Styela clava: one gene and its partner. The protein of the gene in region 2 purifies or fractionates together with the protein of the main gene of each other region. This does not show direct contact. Links are inferred from orthologs where the notes say so. Each region holds a gene or a part of one and is shown on either strand. Other genes may lie near its edges.

Region 1 (3,931 bases), on a different chromosome or scaffold from region 2:
CTAACTCAGATGTTGAATCGATTCGTGCTGCCTCTGCTTTGAGTTTTGCTTGGTCTACAGCAGCTTGACCTTCAATTCGAGCAGCTTCTGCTCTTGATTGTGCTTCTGCCTTAGCTTGCCCTGTGCTTTCAATTGCAGCACTCAATGATTGAAGTTCCAGAAGATCTCTTCTGGACCGTTCAGCCTCTGCTTCATCAGTAATCTTTTGACGTTCAAGTCTGCCTCTTGCTTCCTGCTCTGCCCTTTCTGCTTCATGACGTGCAGTCGCTTCCTGGGAGTTTGTTGTGATTTCAATAGCAAGTTGAACAGATTTCACCAGAGCATCTCGGGTTCTTTGGTCCACAGGTTCAACGGACTGGATATCGATAGAAGTTATAGTCAGCCCATTTTGTGGGAAAACGAACTTGTCACGAACTTTTCCTTTTTCATCTACGCCAAATACAGAAGACCTAATGATACGAGATGAATTCTTATGAAAATCATCGAAAGTGACAGAAGCAACAGCCCCTCTTACACGAGATGCAATTGCCTTGCAACAATCTCCCACAAAATCAGGTACACTGAATAATTTTGCAGCATCTTTCTGGTCTTTTCGGGCATTGTCTGTATCAAAATACCAATTATATGCAAGTTGCAATGAGAGACGTGCATGGTCAGCAGTTTCAATGGTAATGACATCAGTACAAAAATCTGGTCCAAGAAGCAACGCAAGCGACCTAATGACATTCGGACGTTTTGGTTTTCCACCCGAGAGCGACAATTGCGTGAATTGCTCATCAGGATTGAGCATCACAAGCTCAGGTCCGAATATCACTCGTGCTTTCTTTTCCTTGTAATCATAAATTTGTACACAAGCATTATGAGGAACTCTATAAGAAACTACTCTTGTTTTATCACGACGTAATTGAGAGGGGCCTTTGTTTCCTTTCTCCCACATCCCTCTGTCAGCCGAAGGATCGATAGCTGATGTCACTAGTGCCTCAACATTGGGAGGAAGCTCTTTCTCCCAAAGTTCTTCATCATGGGTCAACATGTAAGTGCGGCCACAAACAGCTCGAACTTTACCAGTTTTTAGGTCACGTATGTATATACCTTCATTTTCATCGAGAGAAATTGCACTTCTTTTAGCAAATACATTGACCTCAACGGATGGAACATATTCGGTGGGTCCTCGGATCATCCACTTGTCTCCTGGCTTGCGCTGTATTTCATTGCTATCATCAAAATGAGCTTCTTTTGCTTGTAATATAAGGCCCTGATCTTCTCCAAGCACATAAACATCCTGAATGCCTTTCTCTAATTTTTCACCAGGTTGAAGGAAAAAAGATGCTTCTCCTTTCACAAGTTTGCGCTTGCCAAGTTGGTTCTTTCCATCATCTTCTGAAACTGGGTCAACTATCACACAATATTGTCTACTGTTCAAAGTAGTTATATCAACAACACCTAAGACTTCTTCATGAACATCTGGAATATGAGATTCCGTGTCCGACATACGAATTAACCATTCTTCTCCATTCTTTCGTTTCACATTCAAAAAGTCTGTGAAGGTACGACTCGCTTTCATATGCAAAGCTTTCTTTTCAGTAAGAACATATGCCTCCACAAGTTCGACAACTTCTTCATAGGTTCCGGGTAAATATGCTCCAACTTTTTTAATTATCCACTCCTCCCCAGTCACACGCTCAGTGCCATCCCGATCAACTGTTTCTTTTCTCGCACGCAATTTTATTGCTTGATTTTTGCGAATCACTGTGGCTCTGATAGTCTCCTCTACCAGAACCTCTTTGCGTGGAATGTAGGTACCTGGTCCTTCAAATAACCATTCGTCACCAGCCACTCTCTTAACATCACCGTCAGTAAAATCAAGTTCCGCTCTCATACGCAACGCAGAATTTGCAGGGACAATACGCAGTGCACAAACAGCAGATTTTAAAATTTCACCAGGATAAAGTGGGAAGGGATCCTGAGCCAAACGAATCTCTCTATCAGCATAGCTGAGCTTTGCCTGACCAGACTGGTCATACTGAACTTCACCTTCTTTATTTCTTACAACAGGATTTTCTATGGTGCAATAATGACGAGGTGGAATCGTAATCATACGCTCCGGTCCATATATGACTCTTTCATTATCTTGCCGAATGTAGGTTTTAGGCCCAAGCTCCAACTTTGTTACATTGGTGTTCTGGTCCAAAACATGGATGTAGAAATAAGGCGGAATTCTGTAAAGTGCTTCATCCTGGCCGGACATGTTAGCAAATGAAGGTGCTTTCTTACTCATTTTGAGTTTTACAAATACCTATACAGACTGTAAATATATATAAGGATTAAAGATACAGTATTTTCAATTTTTGTTTGGTAAATTGGTACCAATCTTTTAATTTACTTAGCGAGACATCTATGACTAATTTTAACGTTTTCCTTTGCTATTTATTACATATATGAAAATATGTTGGAAACAGAAAACAATAATATAACATCAGAAAATCACTACGGCTGTACGGCGCTAAAAGCAAACAAAATACCAGATTCTCAGTACATGAATTCACTTTGATAGCATGAAAACTTATATTACTGTATTACTAAATTGGATAAGGGTGATACAATAAAATCGGGGTCTTTGGAAGTTTTTTTAGAATCATGACATGAAAATTAATGCAATTATTTGTGTTCTGCTTCACTGTGTTCTGAAGAAATTCCAGAACAAAAATTGCCTCATCTCAGCTAAGGTGGTGTGAACCTGATTTGCCAAAGTCAGATAGTTGCATGCTGATAAAGTACAAGTAGTATACAGATTTAAAAATTAAATGATATACATCTGTGTGAGATAATGTGAATTGCATCAACATTGACTAATAAAGGTTTATTCTTTCCAAAAGCAAAGCACAATTAATACAGTAATTTCATTGAGAAAAAATCATCCTGTTACTTGTCAAGGAGCATCTATATTTATTTTTGTTCTTTTTTTATGCACAAACATGTGTTTACGCAAAAACAAAACTATTTCCTAAAAAAGCCAATCAACAGACAAACCAATGTTTTCTCATAAACCATTTCTCTTCATTCTCACATCTGAATTAACAGAAGTTTTGCAAATATTGTTTCCAGGTAACTAAACTCTTTTCATTTAATTTTTAATTAAATGAAAACTACTGTTATTGCTGTATTGCTTGCAGTTTAACAACTGAACAACATGAATTGAACAGAATTATAATCATATCATTTTGATTGATTGAAGTTGATTTCATTTTTTCAAGTATTCGCTTACAACATGAACACCGGCCACAGTTTGCCTCAAGTATTCTTTTTTAGGAAGCACTGTATCACAATTCTGATGATTTGTTTCACCATTCTGGAATCAAGTTCTATTAAGTGGTCTAGTGACTAGTCCACATCTTCCTGCACCTAACTTCGATTTGACTTCATGTAACTACTGAACTATACCGGTAACCACAGAATCAGCTTTGATATCTTTTTTGATAAATATTTTTCTTTACCGTTCACAAAATCTATATTTACTGATTTAATTTGGCAATGATTATAAAATTATTAATATGGTGTGACAAAGAACTTTTATCATTTAGTTTTTTATTAATTTACTACAGTACAGCAGTACCGGTACCACTGTACCATGTAATTTATTCAAGGTTTTTGTGTATTACTTCCTTATATCTCTCTGTTTGTGAGTGTGAATTAATTTAAGACTTTTCCGGTGAGTGAACACGTACCGTTACGGTACGGTACCACTTCTTTTGGCAAAACCTTCCAACTTAAATCTGTACGCTAAAAACCTTACTCAAAGTATTGTTTGCCCCTCTGATTCTATAATCCTGTAATCAGTTTTTACTTTTTTTTGGTAACCATTTTATCGTCTGTTATGCTGATTATGGATTCGAAATAAACTCGTATTTATTATTATACACAGCATTATCAG
Region 2 (3,931 bases):
CCAATTGTTCTTTTTTATCCACTTGAGATGATTCCACCTTCTCACCATTATCAGGTACAACAGATTCTTGCAGTAAGCTAGCAGAAGCTTGTCTGCTTTCCTCGAGAGCATCCTGAACTTGATCTATATCTTGTTCCACAACTGACAATTCAGATTTCAAGCGGTCGAGATCAGCCTTTTTACGTTTTCCCAAATCTTGTAAAAATTCTAATAAGATTTTATTATGTACGACTGCACTATCAAGAAGCATTTTTCGCTTTTTTTCTTGCAAAGCTTTAAGCATATGTTCAACATCTGACAGTTGAAGACCATCCTCTTCAGTAGCAAGAAAAGTCTGCCATTCCCAGAGTCTGGAATCCATCTTCAATTTTTTAGATGTCTCAGCTATATCTTCAATTTTTTTCTTTTGCTTTTTTATCAAATCGTTCAACATAAAATTGGGATAGATGTCATCCTTTTTTTTGATTAATGTATTGCATTTGGTACATTTGTTACCCTGTTCAAGGCTGCTCTTCAGACAGGAGTAGCAGAATGTATGTCCACATTGTGTCATATAAGCCTCATCGATTAAATTGAAGCATATAGGGCAAACAAAATTTTCATTCATGTCACGGAATGTCCCCAATACCGAGGGCAGTGGCCTTGAACTCGATGCGCTGGAAGATGACGCATGATCACCCCCTGAAGTTCTTTTCATTGCCACTTACTGATTTAAATATGTAGGTAATCACACTGATAATAACTGAAGATAGCTGGTATAACTTTTGAAATACAGTAATAAATTGTGTGATAAACTACACAAAACCTAATTCAGATAGATAGTTTATCTTGAAAACTCCATAATATTCACTAATTAAAAGGTATTCTGGAAAAGCCATAAAAAACGAAACTGATTGCCTGATTGGGCATTACTGAAAAGGTGAGAAAGTGGGTTAGAAAATCTTCTGAGAAAGTTTATGAGATTTGAACAAAGGAGTCTAATGTCATACAATAATAAGATAATGTTAGTTTTATTAGAATGTCACTAACTTACAATATCATGGCCTATTTATTACTTTGCGTCCAATTATTATCAGAGACACAAGAGACTAGACTGGGCCTACTTGATGAATTGAAATTATTTATTATTCAGTTATTCTAGGCGAGGACATGGCTACAGCATTAAAATGTTGAAAACACTAAATATTGCTATAAGCCCGCTCTTCAATTTCAAGGTGAAGATTTGGTAGATCATAAGATACTGTCAGACTGTAGCAATTTTTTCTGTTATATGACAAAATATAAAATATTTGGTTGCTGAGTTGATAACAGTCAGGAAGTCTATTGGCAGATTGGCGGGGATTCCTTTGCTTTGAAAACGTGTCATCTGGAGATAACCTGGCCGTATTTTGAAAGGTAATACTAAAAGATATCGAGGCTAAATTTTTCGAAACATAAATTTTTTCAATTACCGTAGATAGTCTAAAGCAGCGGTTCCCAAACTATGGGTCGTGACCCACCGGTGGGTCGCAAAAGGAATCTTGGTGGGTCGTGAAAAGATGTAGAAAGCTTTGCTTAATTATACTGGTTATTAGGATCGGTGGCGACTCGAATACGTGAATCTTCAAAAAAAACAAAAGAAATTAAATTGAATTTAAATTCTAATCTGTGAAAGTTTTCTTTTTATGATCTTCTCAAAGGAACAAAAATTTGCTACACAAAGAATGACCATGTGGCTTTTTTGCGCATAGCAGTTTTATACACTGTACAGCACTTCTTACTGTGTTTCCCTTAAATTTAGACAGGATTTAGATTTATTTTCATTTGAAGAATAACGCTGTTTTTTTTTGGAAGAGGTCTTTTGTGTTCATTTATCAAAATAAAATTACACTGTAGAAAATCACGAGATTTTTTAATAAACATTATATAAAAACCAACATCCATTGGTTTTATTTGTATTTCCTATACAAAAATCAAGTGACAAATATCATAATTGTGATTGTGACATTACACAGCGTTGAAATCTTCACCTTACCTCAGGTCATTGAACCTTTTCTCTCCTACACATTTTAAATTTATTTTAAGGGTAGAGTTTTATTAAAATCCTTTTTAAAATTCAAATTGGGTCTTATTTTCAGGCCAGGTCCTATTTTTCTTTCCTCCATCAATGTTTTATTAAAGTTAAATGGGCCGCCATAAGCTGGGGTAATAAATAGTGGGTCCCAACTCTAAAAAGTTTTGGAACCACTGGTCTAGAGGTCACCTCAATTTTTATTGTTATAGCATAGGCTCAACTTAAATATCTAGGCATCGAGAATTTTTTCTCAATGAAATCTTGGTATCTAGGCCTAGTACGGTACCGTAACTGTATAGAAATAGAACCTGCATATTTAAAGTTAGGATTTACATATTTACTACTAGTTAGCCAGTTATTTGTTTTCATATGCATGGACTTGATGGTGGAGCCTATTCTTAAAGCTTGACACAATGCGCCACACCGCGGAGCAATAAATGCATGTTTCAAATAGCAATTACACATTCTTTAATCATTTTAAACGGTACGGTACTACATATTTTTTTTTATTTTTAATGTGTTAAAACAATATTCATCACATTACATTAATTGTCACCATCCAATATAATTCCTATCACCATTATATAGCCTACCGGAACCGTATTCCATAAATTCAGCATCAGTAGTATCCAATTCATTCAAATACATAATCTACTACCGCTGGTTAGGATTCTAAAATTTTCAAGTCATCATCAGAATATTAAATCGCTACCGTATAGCCTACAATAGTTACATACAAAAACAAAAATGTTCCCCATATTCTATTCTGTCCTTATTAAAGCACGAACTTACATCCGATGCAACCACCGCGGCCGTGCTGTTGCGTGTTTTAACTGTAAAATAAGCATAATGCAAGAATACTTGCAACGCCATTTGTCTGTTTGTAGTTAGGCTACCTAGATTTTGTTAGTTTTGTGATGTGAAACCGCTCTCCAACTCCCTGGTACTTTGCTCTATAGTGCAACCACGTGTCAGAGTGCCATAATAATAATGGATTTTCCACGAGCATCGATTTCTTTATTTATTTATTTTTTGTAATAATGACCAATCAGAAAAAAGTAAACGGTGACATAACATTGAAATTTTTGCAGTCGTCCAGACACTTTGTTCGTTTCGACAGACTAGAGGCCATGTAAGTAGAATTACGTAATTACAGTGTTACAAAAGCAAAAGTGGGAAACAATTAGTCTCGTGCCAAAACTAAATTTGTTCGCAAACTCAACGAACTTCTTGATCTTATTTTTAGCTAAAACAACAAATTTTAGTTTGATTGCGGCAGCATCAGGCGGGCTCTGGTCGGGACAGATTGAATTACGTACGATCGATTTGAAATGCGTCTGATGACCCTTAAAATACTTCTGTTTTAAATATATTATGCACAGAATACAATTTCGTTTCGAGGTCATATGTTGTCATTTTTGTACGAGATCACACATATTCACAAATAAATCGTTCTCTAGCACAGAGGTGTCAAACTCGCTTGTCGCATGCAGCCCCAGAGAACTTCCAATGCGGCCCTCGAACACTCAACAATACTTGTAATATTTTGTAAGTTTTGTTCTCTATCTAAATGTAATACAATTTCCAAACCATTTAAAGTGAAATTGATTATCCACTCAGAAAGCGACAACTTACTGAAAATAGTTTTAAATATAAAAAAAAATTTTTGTTTTCAATTTGACCCTATTATGGATACACCTCAAGCTAGGAGAAGAATATTAGAAAAAACACTTCATGAATTAAATGAAACGCAAAGTACATGAAGAAGGTGGCATTTTCAAAGAAAATGGGAGATGCAATATTTCTGCCTTTCTCAAAATTCTAAAGCACATTGTTTAATTTGTCACATTTCCATCAGTACAATGAAAGAATACAATA

The links.
Region 1: the proteins of E3 ubiquitin-protein ligase COP1-like (region 2) and major vault protein-like purify together in Homo sapiens (affinity purification with mass spectrometry; 3 studies listed by BioGRID and IntAct, with this or other methods). This does not show direct contact. The link is inferred for Styela clava from reciprocal best matches to the Homo sapiens genes COP1 and MVP.

Annotation. Positions count from the first base shown.
Region 1 is NC_135260.1:15,801,754-15,805,684, forward strand, and holds the start of major vault protein-like, read right to left. Parts: upstream 2,322-3,931; 5' UTR 2,279-2,321; coding exon 1-2,278. UniProt on the Homo sapiens protein: Required for normal vault structure. Vaults are multi-subunit structures that may act as scaffolds for proteins involved in signal transduction. Vaults may also play a role in nucleo-cytoplasmic transport.
Region 2 is NC_135256.1:12,987,800-12,991,730, forward strand, and holds the start of E3 ubiquitin-protein ligase COP1-like, read right to left. Parts: upstream 2,918-3,931; 5' UTR 698-2,917; coding exon 1-697. UniProt on the Homo sapiens protein: E3 ubiquitin-protein ligase that mediates ubiquitination and subsequent proteasomal degradation of target proteins.